2 linked regions of the Struthio camelus genome follow. The protein of the gene in region 1 purifies or fractionates together with the protein of each later gene. This does not show direct contact. Links are inferred from orthologs where the notes say so. Each region holds a gene or a part of one and is shown in the gene's direction. Other genes may lie near its edges. The genes, in order: RNF19A and SOD1.

What was found.
Region 2: the proteins of RNF19A (region 1) and SOD1 purify together in Homo sapiens (affinity purification with western blotting, with the first as the bait; 3 studies listed by BioGRID). This does not show direct contact. The link is inferred for Struthio camelus from reciprocal best matches to the Homo sapiens genes RNF19A and SOD1.

Annotation. Positions count from the first base shown.
Region 1 is NC_090943.1:146,382,105-146,393,806, forward strand, and holds the start of RNF19A (E3 ubiquitin-protein ligase RNF19A), read left to right. Parts: upstream 1-5,752; 5' UTR 5,753-5,906; intron 5,907-5,920; exon of another isoform or gene 5,921-6,054; intron 6,055-8,514; exon of another isoform or gene 8,515-8,672; intron 8,673-11,702. UniProt on the Homo sapiens protein: E3 ubiquitin-protein ligase which accepts ubiquitin from E2 ubiquitin-conjugating enzymes UBE2L3 and UBE2L6 in the form of a thioester and then directly transfers the ubiquitin to targeted substrates, such as SNCAIP or CASR.
Region 2 is NC_090942.1:119,550,581-119,562,455, forward strand, and holds SOD1 (superoxide dismutase [Cu-Zn]), read left to right. Parts: upstream 1-5,935; 5' UTR 5,936-6,308; coding exon 6,309-6,383; intron 6,384-7,088; coding exon 7,089-7,182; intron 7,183-7,704; coding exon 7,705-7,774; intron 7,775-10,014; coding exon 10,015-10,129; intron 10,130-11,074; coding exon 11,075-11,185; 3' UTR 11,186-11,654; downstream 11,655-11,875. UniProt on the Homo sapiens protein: Destroys radicals which are normally produced within the cells and which are toxic to biological systems.

The DNA of each region.
Region 1 (11,702 bases):
TTTCACCTTTGGGCAGAGACTAAGCACATAACTTCTCAACCCAGAAAAACAGAAGTTTCAGTCTGTTCGGAGTAACAGAGGGGGAAAACCCAGGGGACTTGTATGGAAACAGTGTTGTGCAACAGAAACCACAGTCTGCTGCTTTTCACAATACAACTCTTACTTGGCTTCCTTTTTCCACCAAATTAAAGCTACCTAATGATACAGAGAGTGATAGCAGCTGACCTTAAAAAAAGGCTAGATCCAAGAAAGGTCATAGGTAGCACATGCGCATGTTGCAACTCCTCACCTTTGGGTACCCAACTTCCAGAACAGACTCCAGAATTTAGGTGTTATGTCTAGAAGTGGAGTTTTAGATGTCCAAGAAATTTTAAGCTCATAAATGGGTCATTTTCAGACTTTTGGTACCTTACAATTTGAGTGACATCTGACTTTTTAAGAGCAACATTTTTTCTTTTAGGCACCTAGATTTATCTAAATCTTTCCATTCTCTTTTTGATGGAGGAAGCGTATGGCTCTAAAAAACTCGGAAAATCGGTGCATTATAAAATGATACATTGAAAAAGTAAAAGGATTTCCAAACAGAAAAAGAACAAACAAAAATAACCCAAATATCATTTCATCTGTATTGAAAAATTTATTAATGGCCTAGCTGTGTGGCAGGAAATGTGCAGGCCTGGTAGATTTTAGAGGAACTGGGCTGATAAAAGGGTTTCTAATTTTTTTTGAATTAGAAAATAATTTTTTTTAATTTCTAAAAAATGTTTTGAGGGTAGCAGAAGAGCAATCCCCTCCTTTCCGCTCCACACGCTGCTTATAATCAAAATACAATATCTGGCACTAGCACGCAGAAGAATATGGCTGGCTGCTATACTCACACGCTTTGCCTTTGCATAACATTGTTGATAATTTCCAGTAGTTCATGTCAAGCAAACACTCTGTATTTCATACATCATGGGATTTCAGTACAGGAAAAACTGAACACAATTAATGAGATCTTTCTCTATAAATAATAGAAAGTGTCCTGCAGAGCCAATCTGGTATTTGTAGTGCGATGGACTTGATGATTTGCTGCTCTCTTCTCCCTGTACACTGTATGATTAACAGCTTCCAGGAGTTGGCATAAAACACAATCTGCCATCTAAATTCAGATGTCATATGGTTAGCATAACTATCACTTGGTTAACTGGTTGCCCAGTCTCTCCAGTTTAGATCAATTACATTTAATCTGTTGTGCCATGAAAAACATGTTCATATGGCCAATTGTTGCTGTTACCATGTCAGACAAAGTGCCAAAAAATTTGGCAACAATTAGATTTATTGAGGGGAAACTTTAAAAATCAAGGGCTCCCTCCTGCAATTGAATTCTCCATTTAATAAGCTCCAACTTGTGCTCATTACTTAGAAAAATCTTGCTGAAGTCAGTAGGAGTCTGACCACAGAAGACAACGTGGTATCAAGCCCTCACACAATAGTCTTCCTTCTCAGTTTCGTAAGAGAAAAAGCTGGAAAGAAGCATATTCAATTGTTTTAAACAGATTTTCTTTCTTGGGGCAGGAATGTTCTGGGGCCGGGCCTGTAGTTCTAGATATCTTAAATTTTCTACTCTTGCTTTTTCTTTATTGACTACCGCAGAAACATGGTATCATTTCTGAATACTGATTAGATCAAATGATGTAACTCTAAGATATCTGAGATGTTTGATATGCCTATGGAAGTCTGCATCTTTAATGTTTAATGACATGCTGAGAATTTGGAAGTTCTTGTTTAGGACATTGTTTACTGATATCTTGCCGCTTTTTAGCTTGGATCATTGAGAAAGGGCTATATCTACTTCATCTAGTTCTATTTGACACTAATCCATCTTTCCAGGCATTTAAAATGTGCTTGTCATCATGGTGCCCCAGCACTTAAATATCCTTTCATTTTAGCTTCAAGGTCATGTTGCCTTTTGAGAAAATCCTAATCTGGATTTCTTCCACAGTATACATTTTTTAATCTATTGCACTCAATACAACTGATGATGACAATTAGCTAATGGTAAATGATTTGGGGTTGGAGGGGAGAAAGGGAAACAGAAACCTGAAAGAATTCAAAACCTATTCTTGTCTCTGTGCAATTTGAATCTTACCTTACCAATATGTAATATGTTCATCACTTATATACTGATATTTATTAGTATTGTCTATTTCTCCATGCATATACCTTACTGCAAGTATTTACGGTCTAAATACTGGTCTAAAGAGATGTTTTGCTACCAGTGGATATTATAGATATTTTTGGTCCATCAAAGGCTTTTGTCCTGTCTTCCTCAGGTGCAAGTCAAAACGCAATTCCACACTGCATTTTCTCAAACAGGAAAATTGATCTACACGGGCCTCTGCCTTAGCCTAGTCATGTGTTCCTGCAGCCACTTCAATTCTGTGCCATGGTTTTTGTGCTAATGCAGCTTTTTGTGGGGCAACACTGTAAGCTAGATTAGTAAAATGAGGAGTGCAAAAAGAAACCCTCCAGAAGAAAAAGTCTTTGGCTGGAGAATGTAGAAAAGTGGTGAATCCCGAAACAAGTGGTGCTCTTCAGAGCAAGGTGAGACAAAGGACAGGGACATAAATCAAAAGAGGTTGAGGATGTCTCTTTGCCCTTAAAAAATGAGGGACCGGAGACCAGGTGACAGCAAAGGCTGCAGGAACTATGGAATGATTTTTAGAAAAAGTTTGGTTTTGGTATTCTTAAAGTTTAAGCTAATGGCTGAATATTAAAAAGAAAAAGGAATTCAGAGAGAGACTCATATGTAGGATCAGAGAGATGGAAACATTTACCCATTAAATTTGATATTCTTCCAACATAAGTTTAGAGAAAAGAACATAAACGCATTAAATTTGGGGCCAATGTCCTGTATTTCACAGTGCCCTTTTATATGAGACAGTACTGCTTCATAATACTGAAACTATACTGAGACCAGCAGTCAATGCAAGCATAGATTATGTGAAGGATTAGTGTAAATCAAGAGAAGGTTATCCATGTCACATCTTTTCTCCACTCCCTACCAGTAGGAGAAAAAGCACTTTCACCTCTCAGTTCTCTCTGCTTACCTCCTCTCTTCACGCTGATAAGATTTTTTGCCTTTCCACGCTTGACAGTGTTCTGTACACTTATGTCTTTTTAGAACATACCAGATGTTCCGTTCTGAGGGTAGTACTTTTGTATTCTGATAAACCACTTTGTACTTTTCTGCCAGCAGCTGAATTAAACGCCCAGCGATCTAGACAGAATGTTTCACTCCCAGCTATTCTCCAGAAAGTGTTGTAGAAAGACAGGCTTGTTTGTTTTCATAAATCTTGTGTGCTTCATGAAATGCAGTGTGCATGATATATTTCCTCTCTGTTAAAAGGTTTGGACAGCCCCTACTTTTTCTTAATACCTCTTTGTCATCTTGCTCTGTAATAAAAAAACAACTAGGCAAGCAAGCAAACATATCCTCCCTACAAATCAGAACAAGCCTCTGTCAGTTTTTGTGTACTGACAAAATGCAGGAAGCATTCTCTTTCCTCACTGCGCTTTCTGTATTTTGCTCATCGATGATTTTGAATGCTTTTGTCAAAAGGCACCTACTTAGCTGCAGGCTCTCTGCTGCATGTCTCTCAGGGGAGTTGCAGGCTGGAGTTTTCAATTTGCCCCTCGTCAGATTTCAAGGAGAAGCCATCTGATGCCATAGTGACCATCCAGAATTTTAAAACATCGGGACGCTGTGCCCCTCCCGATATCCAGCACTAGCCAAGAGACTTCAAAATTTTTTTTTACTGATTTGCTGAATTCCTCTCGATATTTAGAAAACCAATACATTGCTGCATTGCTTTGCTTCTGTTGTTGTTGTTTTGTTTTGTTGTAATTGGCAGTTGCACATTAAGTTGCTAAAAATGTCTGCTGTTTCCATTCTAGTCTAATTCTGGTCACTCTTTGTTCATCTATTTTATCATACTACATGCATCTGCTATCCTAGTCTTCCTGTTCCCCTCTTCTTGCCTTTCCTTTCTCTCCCTCAGTTTATGAACTTCACTTCTCTTTCTCGACATCAAATTTCACACATAAAAAAGCACGCAAGACTATCCTGCAAAGTTACGTTTAATATTTTTCTGCATACCTTATCCAACGGAATACAATGGGACTTCTTAAATGCATTAAGTAACTTATGTACATAAGGGTTTGTAGTACTGGAGCCTAAGTAATTCATCTAGCTACTAGGTTTAACAAGCAAAGAAGGAACTGCCGTGATTTGCATACAACATACCAAAACTCCAGGATAATCTTACTGCAGTTATCCTTACTTTCCATTTCCCCTCCCTGATTGTTGTAATCGCCCATTCTGTCATTTCAGATGAAGCACTTCACTATGGAAAGACTTGCATCCACACTTCATTTTATGTACTGCACATAGTCCCTATAGACTTAAATGGAACAGTGCACATAAATAAAGTGTATGCATAAGCCTTCACCACACTGAACATTGTAAATTCCACAGGACAAGCACGGTACATTTTATTTGTTTTAAAATATCTACCCACGTTAAATGCAGGTTGGATAAGGAGTAACTATTTCCAGAGCAAGCTTTTAGGATTTCATACCAGCTTAATGGAAGCACTGCTATTCATCTGTAAGTACCAGGATAAATTCCAGTTCTGGAGAAATCAGAGATGACACTAGAGAGCATGAGGAACTGACTCGAGAGAGAAACAAAGGGACAGAATGTAAAGTCAAGGTAATATTGATATACGCAAACAATTTTTTAAGTGTAGTAGAGGAGAGGGATTTGGAGTCAGCCCAGAAGCGGAGGTCAACAAAAGCGAGCCCGTTGTGTGAGGGGGTGGACAGTTAAGAAGATATTACTGCAGACATTGGGAGCCCTATGAAATAAGTTGCAAAGGTCAAAATTAAAAGGCGATAAATACAGAAACTAGAGCAAAGGGGAGAGGCAAGCTCCCGAGCACAAGAAGCGGCAGGTGATCATTTTCGCTACTGAATACTGGCGTCCAGGAAGGCAGAGAAGCTGACTACAGTTAGGCGGAGAGAGAACAGGGTCACGCACTGAAAGAAAAGTCGGGATTTTTTTTTTTTTTGTTTTCCAGACAAATCCTGAAACGGCTGAGCTTTTAAATGGCAACAAGAGGGCTGGCAAGAAGAAACGTCCGTATTTTACCGCGCGGAATCCGCCCTCATCAGCGACATGACCCCGCCGAAGCCCCTCAGCAGCCCGCCCCCGCCCCGCCGCCGCGGCCGCACAGCGTCCCGCAGCGCAGGCCACGGCCCCTCCCTGCCGCCGCCGCCGCCGCTCTCGGCCCGGCCGCTAACCGCCTCCCCGCCCCCACGAAACGCAGGCCGCCCCGGGCCGGGGCCACGCGAAACTCCCCCCCTCCAGCCGCCCCCTCCGCGACGCGCCAGGAGCGGCGCAGCGCCGCCGCCGCCGCCGCCGAGGCGGGGGACAAGCCCTCACGTTAACGGCTGCGGGGCAGCGCCCTGCGGGAGGGCGGCGGCGGCGGGCGTCGACTGTTGCGCGGCGGAGCCGCCCCGCCCCGCCCCGCCCCTTCCCAACGGCCGCGACCCGCGGAGCGGGGGGCGGCGCGGAGGAGGAGGAGGAGGGACGGGCGCTGCCGCCGCCGCCGCCGCCGCGTGCGTGAGCTCAGCGCACCGCGGAAACCACCCGCCCGGGCGCCGCCTTCCCCCCTCTGCCCGGCCCGCCCCGCGCCGCCGCGCAGCTGGGCTCGGCCCAGCCCGGCCCGCCCCGGCCGCGGCAGCGCCGCCCCCTCCGTCGCTGGCTCACACCCCCTCCCCCCCCCCCCCCACAGACAGACGCTTCCTGCGTGGGGCCGGGCCCCGGCGGAGCGGGGCTGCTTCCTGCCGCCGACTCGCAGGTACCGGCGATGGGCCCGCGGCGGGCAGCGGGAGCGGGCGCGGGGCGGCCCCCGCCTCCGGCCTGCAGCGGGGGCCGGCAGCAGCCGCCGCCCTGAGCGTGGCGGGGGGTGGAGCGGAGCGGAGCCCTGGCGCCGGAGCCGTCTCTAGGTGGGGGCCCGAGCGGGGCCGGGGTCGGCGGTGCCGCGCTGCGGCCGGGGCCAGCGGCCGGGGCGTCGCGGCGGCCGGAGCAGAGGGAGGCGGCGGCGGCCGCTGCTCGCATTGCTGGAGGGTGAAGTCATCGTGCCCATTGTCTCCCCTCGGCTCCCCCCGGGCGGGCGGGGGCCTGTCCCGCGGCGGCGGCGGAGCGGGGCACGGCCGACCCCCGCCGCCGGGCCGCGTTTAGCTTGGCGGCGGCGCGGGGGGGCCGCGGGGCGCCTCCAGCTGCCCTGGCCCGGCCGGGGCAGAGCCTTGCCGGGGGCAAGGTCCGGCCGCGGAGCGGCTCCCTGAGCTCGCTCCGGGCTCGCTCTCCCTCAGCGCGGGGCCGGTGACTCGGGGGCGGGCGGGAGCGCAGAGGGGTTTCGCGCGGCCAGGGGAGGTTCCTGCCGCTTGCAGGACGCCTCAGCTGTGAAGGTGGCGGCGGGGCAAGCCGCGAGGGTGGTCAGCGCCTTGTGCGGTGTCCTCGCTGGGGAGGCAGCGGGAAGGGGGGAGCCGGCGCTCTTAAAAGCCAGCACGCGTGTTAAGAGCGAAAGAGCTGAAGAGGTGCTGGTTGGCAAAGGGGAGGTGTGCTCCAAGGCTCTGCGACCGGAAAAAAAAAAGGGGGGGGGGGAGGTGGCTATGGCAAGGGGACTGTGGTGGAAGGCAGAGAAATCACAATTTGAAGCCTTCGTGCCCTTGTGTGGACTCTTATTGCAAATGTGCCTGTGCTTCTCTGGGAGAAGCACAACAGATCTTGTTTCTGTTAAAATACTGTAGTTGGCATTGGTGCTGTTCAGTGCTTTATCTCAATTGTCATCAAGGACAGCCTTATTTTAAAAAAGGGCAGAGGGCAGTTCAGGAAATGGATCTTGCAGCATTTAATTCCGTTGATTAGTCATCAGTTTGTTTCTTTTAAAGTAACTATTTTCCTTAATCTTAATTTTGAATTACAGGTTAAAAAAAATCTTTTTTTTTTTTTTTTGGAACTGAAGCATAGGTTCTCAATTGCCCAGTTAACAGAATTCACTTGTGTGCATAAAAACAGTGACTGTCCAGTGTCAGTTAATAATTGCCTGAAATTTTACCCTTATTTAGCTGTAAACATTTAAATGTTCATACTCAAAGCTGCTCATGAAAGCTGAGAAAACACTTTTTAAATTGCATGTGAATTAGACCTTTTGGGACCAGGAAATGAAAATTTCACTTTCTTTTGCATAATGGCAATAATGCTACTCTTAAACACAAGTCTAATAAAGGATAGACATGAGATCCCTTTCCCATATGCATTTTTGTTGAACTATGCCAGTTTTAGTTTTGCTTTATAAAGTTCTTGTTGGAGGAAACAACTGTTTGTTGGTCATCTCTTAAGTGAACTAAATTCTGAATTCTAGCTGTTGTCTTCATGTTGTCAGCTATTTCTGAGTCTGAGGGCATCAGATCATTATTTCTAAATGAGGGAGTTGAAATCTGTGTGCATGTAGTTTTCTGTCTCTTGCCCTCCCCCGAAATCTTCTAGCCAAATGGCGCCTTTCCTATGTAGAGCAGTCATCAGATTTCAATTAATTATGCCAGCAAAGGTTCAGGAAAAAGGAAGATACTTGACAGATGTATTTGTTTACCTTCGTAATGTGTACAAATCCTAATCTCTGTGTTAGTAAATGAATCATTAAAACTCCCTTAGCCATGGGATTCCCAGATAACAATAATATGTGCTGTGTGTGAATGTTATCAGTCTGTGAAGGAGCACAAGTACTTGAGGTCTTTTGGTAGCTAGGTAGAGCCTTTTGTAATTGAAAATGTGCCTAAGTTTTCTTATTCATTAACAACATTTTATTACTACTCCCCATGACAAAAACAAACTTCAGGAGCCCTAATGGTAGCTGTCCCCCTAAATTTGTTCAATGGGTAGGTGATTTTTTTTTTTTTACTCAATTTTTTTTCTTTTCAGTTTGCTTGGAATTTTTTGCTCCTCACTAAAGTGCACCTCCCAAAGGTGTTTTTTTTTCTCTTCGAAGCAAGCAAAGTAGGAGGCCTAAATCTTTTCATAGGACTTCTGAATCCTATTTTGAAAGTGCTAAGAAGGGTCTTTGAACTCTGAAGTGCAGCTACACTGTTCTGCACTGCTTTCCTCTGATGGCCTTTAGCCAAGGTCATGGTCTCTATTATGGGGTCAGGTTACGCTGGCCCACAGTCGGACGTCCATAATTAGCTTTGTGATTTATTTTCTGGATAGTATCTTAGACACCACACACCAGCCTAGTAGAACAATTTTTAATACCTGACTAGAACAAGTTGATGAATACATGATTTAGTTGCCACTCATCTTGATCTGAAGTCTGATGTCCTTGCAGTAGTAATACAAATGTGCATGATAACACCGGCTTATCCACAAGAAAGTTAATTTCGGTTTTTCTCTTTTTGCATTTGTCTTAGCTCTAAATTTCTGTTGTCCCTTCTCTGTTAACTGATGGAAGATGTGTAGCCGAATGAATCAGTGCGTATACACGCTTCAAGATACTAAGAATGATGTTGGATATTATATTGCTAAATACATCTGAATTGCAAAATGGAGGTGGACTTCCACCAAGAAGGTAAAACTTACTTTGAGCCTTAGAGATTTGGTTGTTTTTAATAGTGTTGTACCTGAATTTTGGCAATTTCTTTTTTCTTTTGCTGTAGCAAGAATATGGAAGTCTATGTCTGTACCTAGAAAATAGCTTGCTTGTTTCTTTGTTTTTTAAATAATGTTCCTAATTTTTATCAAGAGGGGAATTCCTTTTATTTTTGATTCTCTGAACTGGAAGTTTTGACTGTGATTTAGTCTAATTATAGGCCATTTTTAATAATTAGATTTTTTTTTTTAAATCCACAATGAAATAATTTTAAGGACAAATCAGAGCCTTTTGTGTTGTATATAGACCAGATGTCAGATATGCTGTGCTCTACTTAACTAGAAAAAAAAATCCAAATGAACTAAAAACTTCCCCCTCAATTCTTCCCTATGTTTTTTACTATTTGAAGTAGAATTTCAGTCTCTTCTTAAGCTTTCACTTAAAGGTTACTTCAAAAGATACTTTGGGCGTTTTTATCTTCTTTTTTTTAGATGAGTTGTGGTAAGTTATTATGTAAGATCTTTGGTCGTTTGCTGGTGTTTAGGGATTTACGGATTTCATCCAGAATTCTGTGAATTAGCATTCACCTTAGCATCCCACATTTTCTTGTAAGGATATTTTTTAGTTGATGAGATCAATGGAAGAGTCTTTGCTGCTCTGAGTCATAAGAAGGTATAGTGGTCTTCAGTGGTCTCTGGTTGTTTCATGTGCATTTCTGGCAATTCTCAGTGCACTGTAGCAGCTCGATTTTGACTGCTGGTCCTTTCTCTGGCAGGCTTTGCTCTTCTTTTCTCTTTCTTCTATTAGTGCAGCACGCTCGCGTGCTGGCTCAAGGATCCAAAACGAGGAATGGACGATATCTAAAGAGAACTGTAGATGTTTTATGTAACTAATATCTTACAGGCCTCAACTGCAAGTTACCTTGTTGTGTGTGTGGCCTTATACCTACCACTTAGGAATAGTGTTTGAGTTCTTGAATAACGTGGTAGAGTATCGGAGGATCAGCTAGAATTCAGAGAAGCAAGAAAAGCTCTATAGCTGAGGTGCAAGATGTCCTTTGTGATTTAACTGTTAAGTCTTTCCTCATTAGGGCAAGCGAGGAGGGCCTTGACTCATTCTTTTACTCGACTTCAGAAGTCGAGGCACACTTCTAAGAGAAGATTTGACCTCACCGTTACGTTAGATTTATCTATGGAATAAGGAAAAGTAGGAGTGTTTCCATTACTGCTTTTCAAGGGAAAGGCTGCAGTAGGGTTTTCTACTCTTCAGTATGTAAACTGTAGATTCAACTCGGTCACCTGTTGGATGACTAGTAGTATCTTGTTGGGCAGGTAGCTGAAACACTGCAACTGTAATTGCCTTTTGCAAGATGAAAATAGCTATAGAAGAGTGTATTTTTTCTGAAGGGCGAGTTCCAGCAGGTTCGCTTTACATCTAGATACTACACCAAACTGGAAAGCTGATAGAAGAATTACTTTAACCTAAAGCAACTTAGCACAGAGATCTAATGAAATGAGCTTAAATAAAAATTGCATATACACAGGTGTTTCCTCAGGCATTAAAACTTCCTCTCTTTAGAGGCCAGCATATCCCCTAATGATGTCTTCAGCAAGATGTTTGAAGGGCACCTTGTAGCAATTCAGTTTGGTATAGTTACTTGTTTTTTTGCCGCTTAAGTAAAGCACAACTGTGTTAATGCAAGTATCCTGTTATTGTTCACTGCAAGCTGTCGTTGTGGGACTATGTCAATTCTGCTCTGTTGCCATTTATAGTTGAGATAAATCACTGTTAAACAAACACTTTTCCATAGGTCCTTTAGCTGTTCCCATAAGGCAGATTAGAGCTCTTATTCCAAACTGGAGCCCCTGGCTGTCCCCTTCAATTGTTCCATTTATTGCTTGAAGAGCAGCTCCAGCAAGGGACCTTACTCTGGAGAAACTGTTTGAAATAAGGATCTTGTTGCTTTGTTCTCACTGTGAGTCACTGAGGCTACATATTCTCAATAAATAGAAATATCAACTTTTAAGTTTCTCAGTTAATGATCAGATAATTACTATAAAACCAAATTGTCCAGGCTACATCAAATTAATCCACTATTATTTTTATTCAGATATGCTGAAAATGTAAGATAGTTCCTCTGCTGTTCTGCTTAGTGCACAAATTTACCATGTACGTTTCCAGAAAATGGTTTGTAAGGAGCGCAAAGTGATCCTGGACCTCAGAGGGATCTCCTGAATGCTGGAGGTCAGGTGGGAAGTCCTGGACTAAAGATTTTAGCTGAGCCATGAGGATTTCACAGTGCTATATAGCTAGCTTATTTGATATGTTGACACCACAGTGATTTATATTTCTTAGGACCCAAGGAATTGGGTGCCATATGCTCAACCCAGATTCAGTGCTGCAGCTCTTTGTATCAGGATCTGGTTGTACCTTGACAGTGAATGTTTTACTGAAGTGGTGACTGAACATCTGTAAGATAATTCTGTGTGATAAGTGAAGATCCAGGCTGAGGGTGGTTGTTAAAATGTACTGTTTGGGTTCCTTCCTATCAAAACCCTTTATGTGGGGAAGAAAGCCGTCCCTCAATCGTAGAATAGTGAAAGAACATTTGACTGGGACTAGATAATGATTGTAGTGATACCACACAATTGGCAAGGAAATTGAAGAATAGAGCCTACTAAGAAACGGAGCAATGTGAACGGTGCTGAGTAATGTGAAAAAAATGTGGCTGTGCAACAAAGTCTATTCAAGATTTAAAACTGTTTTTTGGTCTATATGTACTAGAAAAAGAATTTTTGTCACAAAGACTGCTTCACCGTATGTCCCAATGAAGGTGCTCTGACTTTATATTTCACTTACAGTAAAGGAATACAAACAGAATAAAATCCTAAAGCTTACTTAACTTCTGCAGAGTTGAAACCCTTGCTTCAGTTTCTGATGAAGAGCAGTCTCCTTCTCGGCTTCACTTTACCTGTAAAGCTGTATCTGATACTTGTGTTTGATTTTGTA
Region 2 (11,875 bases), on another chromosome or scaffold:
TTGCCTTTTTCTTGGGAGAATTCATGGGGTTTTTTTTATGTCAAAACATTGCAGCGATAGAGTTACTGAGCTGGAGAAAAAGGGTTAATACAGCAGCAGGTTATCAGGATAAACTGTAGAGAAAGTCACATCAGTTCACGGAAGCCAATATGCAAAGTCACTATGTGATGGTGGAAAGGCTGAAATTATGCCTTTTCATTACTTTAATCAAAATATTCTTTGGATTTGATAGAAGCTATTCAAGCTCAAGTACAAAAACCACTTAGTTAATACTTTAAAAGCCATTCTAAACTTCAGATATGCTACCTCGCAATTCAGTTTGATTGCACTACTCCAGAGGATCACTTTGTGCTGTCGCTGCAGCTCTCACAAAGGACTCAGAAAATGTGCCAATTATTATTTCTGCAAACCCCAGAGAATCCACAGAATCCTTTTGTGTGAATGTGACAAACCAACTTGTCTTGCAAACCATAATCGTGCTAGTAACTCCTAGCTGCTTTGTGCTCTTAATTTCAATCTCCTAAAATGTTTTGATGGGACAATTCACCAAAAGGTGGCCTGTCCCATGTAAATGGTGGTTAAAATGTAGCTCTTGCATGAGAGGTCTGAATGGGGGCGCTGCAGGACTGAACATGCTCAGGAGAAACTCCAAGAACCCAGTTTTCTCTGAAATTTTGTAGTCAAAGGTCTACACAGCCTTCGGAGGAGAAGAAAAAAAAAGTCTAGAGACTCTCTTATAGGCTACTGCTGTTTGGGAGAACCCTAGGTAAACAATATCATAGCATTACTAATATAATAAAACTATAAACATTTTAATTGCCCACTGGTAGCTGTTAGGAACCTGGTCTGAAAGTCTCTCCTGCCTGCAGGTACTGACAGAAGTACCTTCTTCCAGCTATTCCCACTGTCATGCTCTGGCATGTACCTCCTAGTTTCCTAAGAGCGAGCCTATACTAGGATGTATGGGTGAAAGAAGGAGCGTTAAGCATGCATTTTGCACTGCTTTCGCAGAGCGCGCACTGCTGACTTTTAGATCACCAGCTCTCTGCACAGCAGGGCCCCCAAACTCCCCAGAGGGAGAGTGGAAACGGCCAGTCCTGTGGTGGTTCAGCAGGGGAACCGCATAATCCATTGGATTCACCAGAAATACACACTGGAGTAACACGAGCAGGCTTTGGCCCTGTCTGAAGTATTTAAAATCCAGCTCTTTGAATGTTAACCAGCAAAAAAATTCAGCGGACAGATCGTGAATAGCACCAGTGCCTGAGAAGGGTTGTCGTAACTTGTGGCCTCAAGTGCTGGTGCTGGGTACAAAGGTCTTCACCAATATTTACACAAACTTGTCCTCTGAGGATCATATTTCAAGTGTACTCAGCTTGTACAGCAACGCAGAATTAGGGACTTAATACCTCAATTTAGCTACTAAAAGGACAACAAGATGTCAAAAGTGAATGTTATGTTTAATCTTTTATGTTCCATTCAAAGCCTTTCTAGGCTGGCACTGTTTTAATTATATGAATACTTTGGTTATCAGCTCTACTAACTCTTAATTGGAATTACATGCTTTGCACTAGGGAGTCTGTCACAAAGTTTCTAATGTAATAACTCCTGATTTCCACAGTGCTTTTCATCTTCAAAATGCTATACAAACATTAACTGAGTTAATTACCTCTCCCAGAATCCCTCAGAGGTAGGGAAGTGTCATTACCCACATGTAATCAAATGGGAAGACTTTAATGGCACACGATGCATTTTCCAGGACAACGCAAAGGCTCAGGGTTGGATTGGGTTCTTCAGGATAGGTGTTTGGGGCTCTCTGGAATGCAACAGAGAGCCTGAAGGGGGGCACAGGGGCTGGCAGGTAGGCAACAGGAGCTCAAGGACCCCTCCTGCAGCAGCAGCTAGAGGCCAGAGGAGATACCTGGAGGTATCACAGATGGGGCTAGACACCTATGTGTAGACAGCTGAGTCCAAGGACAGGGCAAGCATTAGATTTTTGCAGATTTTAGCATTTAGGATCTAGACTGTGGGACTCTGAAGGACCTCCCCCCCACCTCCCCCCCGCCATACACACACACACAAGCGTCTTCTAGACCATTCATAATACAGAATTATCTACATGCAGTACAGCACTCTCCTTACTGGGTACGCCTGAACAGACATGCACATCTTGTGTTCTCTATGTATTAAGTGATTCCCAAATGCTACAAGTCTTCTATGATTCCACAGCACAAGTTGATACCAACATTGGGAATTTAGCTTCCACATTTCTGAAGGGAAGCTTTAGATAAGAAGACCAGGCAAGCAACGCATTTACTGCAGCGGGAAGCCACTGCTCACTGTCTTTGTGTAATCAGGCCTTTAAGCTAAACAGAACGCACTCACCCACTGAGATGCAAAAATGGGTTCAGAATAGCCATAAATCTGCTCCCAGAGCAGGAGGAAGGACTGCTCTGATCCAGCCCTGCTAGGATCCTCAGTTGCTGGAACGTGAGGCTGCAGAGAAGTAATGGTTGTTTCCTTTCCTGGCATGCTAGAATAAGCTCACCTGCACTTAATCTTGCCAGCAGCCTCCCCTTCAGAGATGCACATTCAAGGAATTAATGGTCCTACAGAAAGAATTATTATTCATGTTGTTTCAGTTCACCTTTGTTACTGTGAAAGAATAAACATAAAAATGACATTAACGTAGATTAATAACGTATCTAATCTTGATGGGTGAGCACCTATGCACAGAAGCTCAAGAGACCTGGAATGATGCTTCCCATGGCAATCTTAGTTTCACCTCATATCTTTCCAGAAGAGTCATCAGAAGTAGAAATACTATACATTTGCACAAGGCTTCAGAGGTATGGTTGTCATGGGAACCATAACTCCTGAACTTCTAATTTTTTAATCAATATAAAATCTGAATCAGAATGCGAGTTAATGTGCTGCAGAGGCTTAATGCTTGATGGATGCCATATTTTTACAGTACAGAAAGTTTGGGATTTTTTGTTATTTTTGCACGTTTTGCTTAGAAGTTGATTAGTTGATGAGTCTATGTAGATTAGACATCTGTTAACCCACATGACACACTACTTCATTTGTTGCCGTTAGCGCTTTAAGTTGGCAAATTAGGAAACAATCAGGGCTAACATGAATCCTAGTTCTTCAGAGATTTACCTGCGAGTCTCTCTATGCGATGTGAGCAGCCCTTTTGACCAACACTAAGAACGGCTTCATTCCCCTGCTAAAATGGATACACTATGTAGCCAATTGCAGAATGGAGAAAATATTCAAAATCATGTGTCCACCTAGCCCTAAGCCTGTCACTCCCATACTTGCTTCAACCCTCTGGGCTCCAGTTCAGTCCTCTTTGTTATCACTGCAGCTATGAAGGTGCGAACAGGCCCGAGTTTAGACTTTTTCCAAGGTAAGATGGCAGAACAAGAGTATAGGTCAAAAAAGAGTGGGGCTTTGGTGTCAAACAGTAACTGCCAAAGTTGCAAGAGACCACACTTCCTTTCTTATGTCTGACAAATCGCCTGTCTGACTGTAGTTCATGCTATCAAAGTTAGTAATCCCACCTGGCAGTTTGTTCTTTCCTCTCTGGTTTGACTCTGATATTCTGAATAAAAAAACCAATGTGTTACTGCCACCAGACACTTTGTTCAACTTCTTTGTGGTGGATTTTCACAAAAAATGTTCCCTGCTAGCAAGATTTAAGAAAGTAAAAAGTGAAATGAGTGAAATGAGTGAAAAGGAAGTATGTGGGGAAAAAAAATCTCTAGCTTCTTACGCAAGACTCCTGTGAAAGAGTATTCATGTAAACCAATATTTTTGTATTACTATTGTACCGCATGTAGGAATAGAAAACACTCTAAAGGGTGAGGCCACAGCCTGTACGTGATTACTGATCTGCACATACCATACAAACTCTTGTATGTTAGTCCTTCAAAATCATATCTTTCCTTTAGCCTTCTACCGCTGACCTCTACGCTGTCTCTTAACATGTCATCTTTGTCAGCTGCACTCTATCTGAGAGATCAGGCATCTCAGAGTTCAGGCTTTTTTCATAGAACTCTGTAACCTGTTGGTCACACCTAATGCGACAAACTTCTGAAATTATTACTTCACTTTACGTATGAGGAGGCTTGGCACATCTGGCTCTTCTCTTTGGTAGAGCTGCTTATCCATCTGCTTGTCGTACATTCATGTAGAGGCATGAAGAAGGGTGGATCTTGAGAACTTATCTCCAGGAAAGAAAGAATAAATCTGTCTGATAAAAACCAAGGCAGATCTGGAGACAGGCCTAAGAATAAGAAGAAGCACCATAGCAAAGCACTCAAGATGTTTCTCCTTATGAAAAGACACTGACAAAAAAAAAAAAAAAGGACATCGGAAGCCAAAGATGGTAGATAGCATAATGAGTCACTACTATCCTTCCACGTTTACAAGCCATTTTTTAAATCAAACAACATTTGCCTTGAGGGCACTGAAATATTTCCTTTTGATCCAGCCAACATTCAGGATGATGGAGGTTGTGCCATTACCACAGACTTCTTTGTTCATGAGCAATTTACAGTCTTTTCTCTCCATGCACAGCAGGAATTAAACTCCAGGAAGATCATGAACTCTCAGTGCCGAGACGCCTCCTATTTGGGATGCAGCCCAGCTCTCTTTCTCTCTCAGCATCTTTTCAGGATCAAACTACAAACATTTTATCTATCTGTCAGACTAATGCTCCCTGTGTATTTGGCATTTTCCTTCCTGCTGCTTCTTTCTCAGAGAAATATGCCATTCAACCAAACGAATCTCTGTTCCTCACAATTAACGTCAGGCCCCCATAAAATTCCTGGGATTCAAAACTGAGCCTAACGTGTGAAACAGGCCTTGTGCTCCCTTCCTTAACCATAGGGCATTCTCTGCCAGGTGTCTTAAGATCACCAGGGCCCTCAGTCATACACGCAGACTGCCTCAAGGTACAGCTATTATACGATCGTTTTGGACTTCTGATTCAACTTGCTCATCAGTAATGCAGCAGGAAAACAAGGAACATGGCTTTACCAAAAAGGCGTTTATTAAATGCGATCATTTTATTCTTAAAACTCTTGGAGGTTGCAGCTCTTCATACAAAAGTGCACAGATATATCCTCCCTGAGTCCGATGTTAATTTTCCCTCGGAGCCTAAGGTTTGTCAGCACGGAGAGAATTTGTCACCTCTTCCCTACACACCCCTCAGACAAGTAGTCCTCATCAGCGGCTACACCAAGAGACTTTCCACGTTAAGCACAAGTCTGCCTGAGCTGTGTACTAGATACCCAGCCTGTGATTGCGGGCAGCCGATGGGCAAAGGGGGCTCCGAGAAGCCCACCGTAACCTGACAGTCAGCAGCTGAGCAGCAGCACCACCAACTCCAGACGGAAACCCCCGTGGCTTTTGCACGGGGAACAAAACACCTTCTGGACAGGGCCACTTCTTTGAAGCGCAAAGCTAGGCTGAGGCAGCTTTGTAAGCGCGCTCAGCTTTTCAACTGGAATTCTCAGTAGGGAAACAAACAAACAAAAAAAGTACAACAATACACAGAAGGGAAAAAAAAGTTGCAGAAAATGACAAAAAAATGCTGCGGATGATTCTTAATCTTACTGCCTCAGTGCATGCCTGTCACAAAACGTGTTTTTCACGTCAGTATGAAACCCTAACGCGGTGAGACCTAAAAACCGAAAGCTCATCCTTTTCGCGGGGGAGGGGAGGGGAAGGGTTTAAAGTGAGCCTGCTTAAGAAACACCCCGCTTCCCGAACGCCCGAGCGTCGCGGCGCCGGCAAACACAAGAGACAAACCCCCTGCGACCGTTCAGCAACCAACGCGAGCTACCTGGGCCAGCCACTCCCGCAGCCAACCCCCCGCGGGGCGGCGGCCAACCGCCCCAACGGTCGCGGCGCGAGGCGCCGGGGGGGGGGGGGGGAGGCGGGGCGGCCCTCGCGCCGTTGTTTATCGCCGCCGTCAATCCCGCAGCGCCTCCGTTACACAAGGCGGCGCGCCCCCCCCTCCGCCCCTCCCCCGCTCCCCGCGGCCGGGGGAGGCGCCTCACCTGCCCATTGGCTCAGCAGCGGGCGCCGCGGCGCTCCCTCCCCCTTTATTGGCCGCAACCCGCGAAGTAATTGATCGAGGAAGCTAAAAAGGCGCGCTGTGATTGGCTGCGGCGTTGGGGGGGGAGGAACGCGCTATATAAGAGCCGCCGGGCGGAGGGGGCGGCTCTGCAGTGCTGGGGCGCTCGCTGCGTTGGTTGTTGCTGTTGCGCCGCTCGTCCGGCCGCCGCGGGAAGATGGCGACGTTGAAGGCCGTGTGCGTGATGAAGGGGGACAGCTCCGTGCATGGCCTCATCCACTTTGAGCAGCAGGCAAGGGCCGGCGGGTGAGGGACCGGTGGGGCGGCCCGCTCCGCTCAGCCCCGCCCCGGCCTTGGGGGCTCGCCAGGTGCTGAGTCATTGCCCGCTGCGCGGGGGCGGCTGCCCCGGGCCGCGCGGGCTCGGCCGCGGCTCGGCCCCGTCACGGGGGGACGGGGGAGGGTTAGGCCTGCGGTTGTTGCGCCCCTGGGGGCCCCCTGGCAAGGCTCGTTACTGGAGCCCGCCGCAGCCCTTCTGGGAAGCCTGTTTGTCGCTGCCAGGGTGGGACTTTACGTGGGTCAGTCTGCTGCGTGGTCTGAGCCCTTTTCCACGCTTCCCGAGTTGGCTGTTCCCCATAGCTGGGACTGTACTGAGGTAATGCTGTGCCTGCGAAGGAGCACCGATGTTTGGGGTTGCTTGTGCTTGCATGCTGAAGCACGTGGTTACTAAAAGCAGGTAATCTTAAAGAAGGCATCCCTCTTGTTTGACAGATTAATCGGAGGAATGCTTTCTAGGTGGTTAAACAAATGCAAGTTTTCTGTGAAATGCTGTCTTGGCAGATGGAATCAATTCATGCAGGAGGGTAACCATTCATGTTGGTTGCTGAACTTGCAGTGGAGTCTCCAGTGCTTTCTGTTGACCAGAAAGCTTCATGTGCTGCTATTAGCCCACTTAATACTGTAGTCATTTAGGTGCTAACAAACTCTCTTTCTACTGAAGGGTGATGGACCAGTAAAAATTACTGGAAAAATCGAATGCTTGGATGATGGAGATCATGGCTTCCATGTCCATGAGTTTGGGGACAACACAAATGGTAAGATCTGTATCTAGGCTTTCCAGTTAGAGCTGTATCCTGACTGTTCAGCTGTAAAGAGCTTCTTCTAGTGTTACAGTGCTGACTAGTATGAAATGTACTTGGTAGTCTGGTGACTGCAAGACTGTTTTATGAAAGGATGACATTCTCTAACAAATTATTTCCCAGTTAATACTCTAAACATGTTTAAACTAGTCTTCAGAACCTGATATATCAAGCACTAAAATACTACGATGACCTGGTGTTAAGAACTGAGAATGCTACTTTCAGCTAAACCAAGAACATCTGAAAATGTTCTGTATTCCAGAACGTTATATTTTATTGGACTCAGTAAGGCTTGCAAGTCTGTCATAGGTTACTTGCCTCCAATGGATCAGGATAATATCTGGCATGAGAACAGCTATTTTATCATTAGAGAGTTTGCTTCCTCTCTCTGTGAGAGGACTACCTTGTTGTATTGTGTAGACAGGTTTATATTGGCTGTGGTGAAAACCTACACTTCTGATGTCTGATCTGTTTCAGGGTGTACCAGTGCAGGTGCCCACTTCAATCCTGAAGGCAAGCAGCATGGTGGACCAACTGATGCAGAAAGGTGAGTTTAATGTGCCTGATCCTTTATTGGGTAGCTGTTCAACTTTAAGCCAGCAGCTCTTTAAGTGAGACCCCTTTCTGCCTGGGAGACCACTTCCTGGATCATGCTAGGACAAAGCTAGGGAGAAAACTGGCAATTCCAGCAAGTCTTCTAGGGTCAGTTAATACAAGTCCTGCTAACTGGAATGGTATCTTGGCTATCTTTGCTCCAAGAGTATGGATAGGATGTAGTCTTTGAGATGTGTTCTTGGCTTAATCACAGCTTGGAGAGAGATTTATTTTTTACTGAGTGAGGGTATTTCAGGATGTGGGTGAAGGGGATTCATGTGTTAATGTTCCACTTGGTCAGTGGTGACTTGCTTCTGTGTCAGGGCCCTGCTCAGCAAATAGCCTTTCACAATGGGCCTTCATCTGTCAAGGACCTATTGACCTGTATGCAGGCCTGTTATGTGGCAAAATCGGGATTATCTGGGGAAGGGATTGGAGCTGCAGGGGGACTCTAAAATGAATAGGAAGCTGAGTGTGCCTGGCATGGTGGTGGTTTGAGTACTAGGCTGTGCTCAACTTTTCAGCCTGGGCTGTGCTTAACCTGTCAGCTCAGGCACTGTACTGCTTACAGGACATTCTCTTTTAGGGGATCTGTGCTGAGTGCAAGTATGGGGTCTGTTTGTTCTGAACACTACTGAGCCTCAGTGGCAGTTGAGACATGGAGCTGAGGCCTAGTTTTTTTCATGGGAGCAGTTTCATAGTCCAGTTCCTTGAAGGGGCCTTTGCATGTCTGATACCCATACTATTTAAACCACTTGCTCAGGCTCAAATAGTATACTCACTGGAAAGGGGCTGTGCAAGAACTGAAGGCCAATGTGGCAGCAAGTGTACAAGACCAGCCCGTCTTCTACAGATAGGTGTAGACTTGGCAGTGTGATATGATTTAAATGCTCACCTAAAGTCCATAGTCGCAACTTCTGTGACTGATAAATGAATAGCACAATGTTCAACTGCTTGCCAAACCAAGCTGTGGCTGCTAGTCACCTGTCTGGATGATGGCAGTATGAAGTGGCTTGCTTGTGGGCTTCCCAGGCAGTCAAATGCTCCTGTGCTAAAGGCCAAAACTGCATGCACATCATGGCTTCTGCCAGTTCTGCTTAGTCAAACTCTTCTCCTAGCATAACCTACGTGCTCAGACAACTGTAGTCTAGGGAATCCTCTATGGAAACAGAACTAGGTCATGCTTCAGTCAGTACAGAGTTGAAACAGATTGGACTAAAACTACCTGGAAGTTAAAATGAAGCAAATGTCTAAAGGGAAAACTGCCCTTGTCCTCTTTTGTGACTTAGTTGAAAATAGAAGTCAACTACTGGCTTCTTAGACAGTCGGATATAAGCATTCAGCTAGCTGAGCTGGTTACTCCACAATGCCTGGAGAGTTTATTAGAAACAGACTGGTATTAAGGTTCTGAGTCTAGGTCAGTGTCTTGCAGCTCTGAACATGAGCTTGTCTATGCCCCTTTATTTGGGATAAATGGATTGGGAACAATGCACTGGAATGTCCAAAAGCTGCAAACTGACTTGCTACCTGAGGCTTAATTCTTCAAGGAATTCCTGGTGGCAAACTGGCTCTAAACAAAACTGTATGGTAGAACTCATGTCATAAAGGAAGATTCAGAATAAACCGGAGTAGTCATTCCTAGTACTGATCAGAACTTAGCATTTAATGTATCCCCTGTTGACCTGTCACTTGGCAAACTGCTTTTACTAATCTTGTTTAAACCAGGTTTGTCTGCAGCTGCTTGTAGAATGGCTGACTTGTCATAGACATGAAAAGCTTTAAGCATAGCAGCAGCGCTTATACCAAACTTTGCATGTGCAGAAAGATTGTCTCACCTAATTGAGGGTGTTCCTCTGAGCAAAGAAATAACCTATAATAGAGAAATGTGAAGGAAATTCTTAGCTGCAAGAGTTGTGTATTATCAGCTTGCCTTGCCAGGAGTCATGGTGTTTCTTCCCACAGTTGTAATTAACCTTTTGATTCCAAGTTCTGTCTAGAACTGAATTTTAATCAAATCTCTTGAACTAAATGTCAATAGTGGAAATGTTGAAGGGAACACTCATTTAACATCAGTGACCCTTCAAGATAAGGTGGTGGAATACTTCAGGGAGGTAAAGATGAGTGTTGTATTGGCCAGACCAATACAATTTAATGTACTGAGCTTTCTGCAAGTTTGTCTGCTGCTTTGTATAGGCATGTGGGAGACCTTGGCAATGTGACTGCTAAAGGAGGAGTGGCAGAAGTGGAAATGGAAGATCCACTCATTTCTCTTAGTGGACCATATAGCATCATTGGACGTACCATGGTGGTAAGTGTCTTGATGCCTGCTTAGTTGCTTTGCAGAACTCCAGAGCAGTCTTGCAAGTTCTCTTGCTGCTAGAGGCTTGTCCCTGTTTTTTTTATGTAAACTGTAGCTCAAGACTTTGACTCTGGGGAGTCTTTTCCAAAGTTCTGCCTGAAAATGTAATGTATCACTGTGGTAGTTATTACCATGATCCTGAAACTTGCTGTGTGCCTTGCTGAGGGTATTCCTTTCCATTAACCTTGCTTTTTACAGCTGAGTGATAAAAACCAACCTTATCTGAGGAAGCAACTGGTGGTCTGGCACAAGTGCTGTGTCATTGCAAGGCATGATGATGGGCACTTAATGGCTGTGCTCCTTACCACTGCTGTAGTGGCTGTTGCCTTAATTTGCCTCATGGCCTCCCTGGGGGAAGGAGGCAGGCAGAGGGTGTGGATGCTGTGATTAACAAGCCTGTGGATTGGATAATAGACCACTGTATCAGTCTGGTTTCCCCTGGGACTCCAGTGCATGCTGAGACCACTGTATTCTTGCTGCATGAAACGGGCTTGGACTGATGACCAAGCAGCCAGGAGGTGTAATGTTTGTTAAGGAGTGGCCAGGGCACACTTGTGCCTTCGTAAGTCAGCCTTGTGTTGTAAGGATGAAATTGGATTTCAGGTCAATGTTTCTTAGGTGAGTAGTAACTCTTTTCAAACTTGGATTTTTTTTTCTAACTTGCAGTTCTAAAATTCAGTTGAATGCTACTTTTCTTCAGACAAGTCTAGTCTCAGGTTTTTAGCATGAGTACCAATTTGGTGTTCAGTGATACAGTAGAAAGAACCAGTCAGTTATTGCCAGCTGTCGCCAAGGTATATGTACTACTTGTTGCTGTTAGTACTAATGTAAATAGCTGTGAAATGTTGATTATTAATAGTAACATGGATTAAGTATCTTTAATTCTCTTTTTAGGTCCATGCAAAACCTGATGACCTGGGTAAAGGGGGAGATAATGAGAGCAAATTAACTGGAAATGCTGGACCTCGTTTAGCTTGTGGTGTAATTGGAATAGCAAAGAGCTAAGTATTGCACCTGAAGTGCTTAAGATGGCAGTGAGAAATGGGCTGTATTTCATTGCAAATGCTGTACCTGGCCTTGTTCAAGAAAGATTTATCACTTAATTTCATTACTACTTTGCATTCTAAGTATCAGTGAAACTGGTGAAGACTGACTTAATTTTGTACAATGTATATTGCAATTAAAGTGACCCTGATAGAATGTCTCTGTAGTCTTCTGCTAAAGCTTCTGCTGTAATCATCAAGTATTATCTTCACTAACTAGAACTCTTGTTCTGTGTAATGGAAGATGTTTAATAGTGACCACAAATGCTGAATGCTTAAATTTCAGTGTATTGTAATTTAATCACCTTATGAGCTCTAGCAAGACTACTCACCAAAGAGCAGTAGACACTGTATGCCTCAGGGCTTCCTCCTGGCAGAGTTACAGCATTGTAGGTTTCAACCTTACCTAATAAATGTGCTGGGCAAATATACCTTGGTCTTGCTGTCTGTGGGGGTGGGAGGAACTACCTGGTGATCTAACCTCTGAGTAATAGGGCTGGACTTCCTGATGCCAGTAGTCAGTTTGCTAGACAGCAACAGCATTCAGCAAATCACTTCTAGCCAGTAATGCTGGACCAGCTAAAACCTTTACTCGATCAGTATGCTCAATAGTATTCCAATACTCATGATTGGAGTTCTGCTCAATAGATTT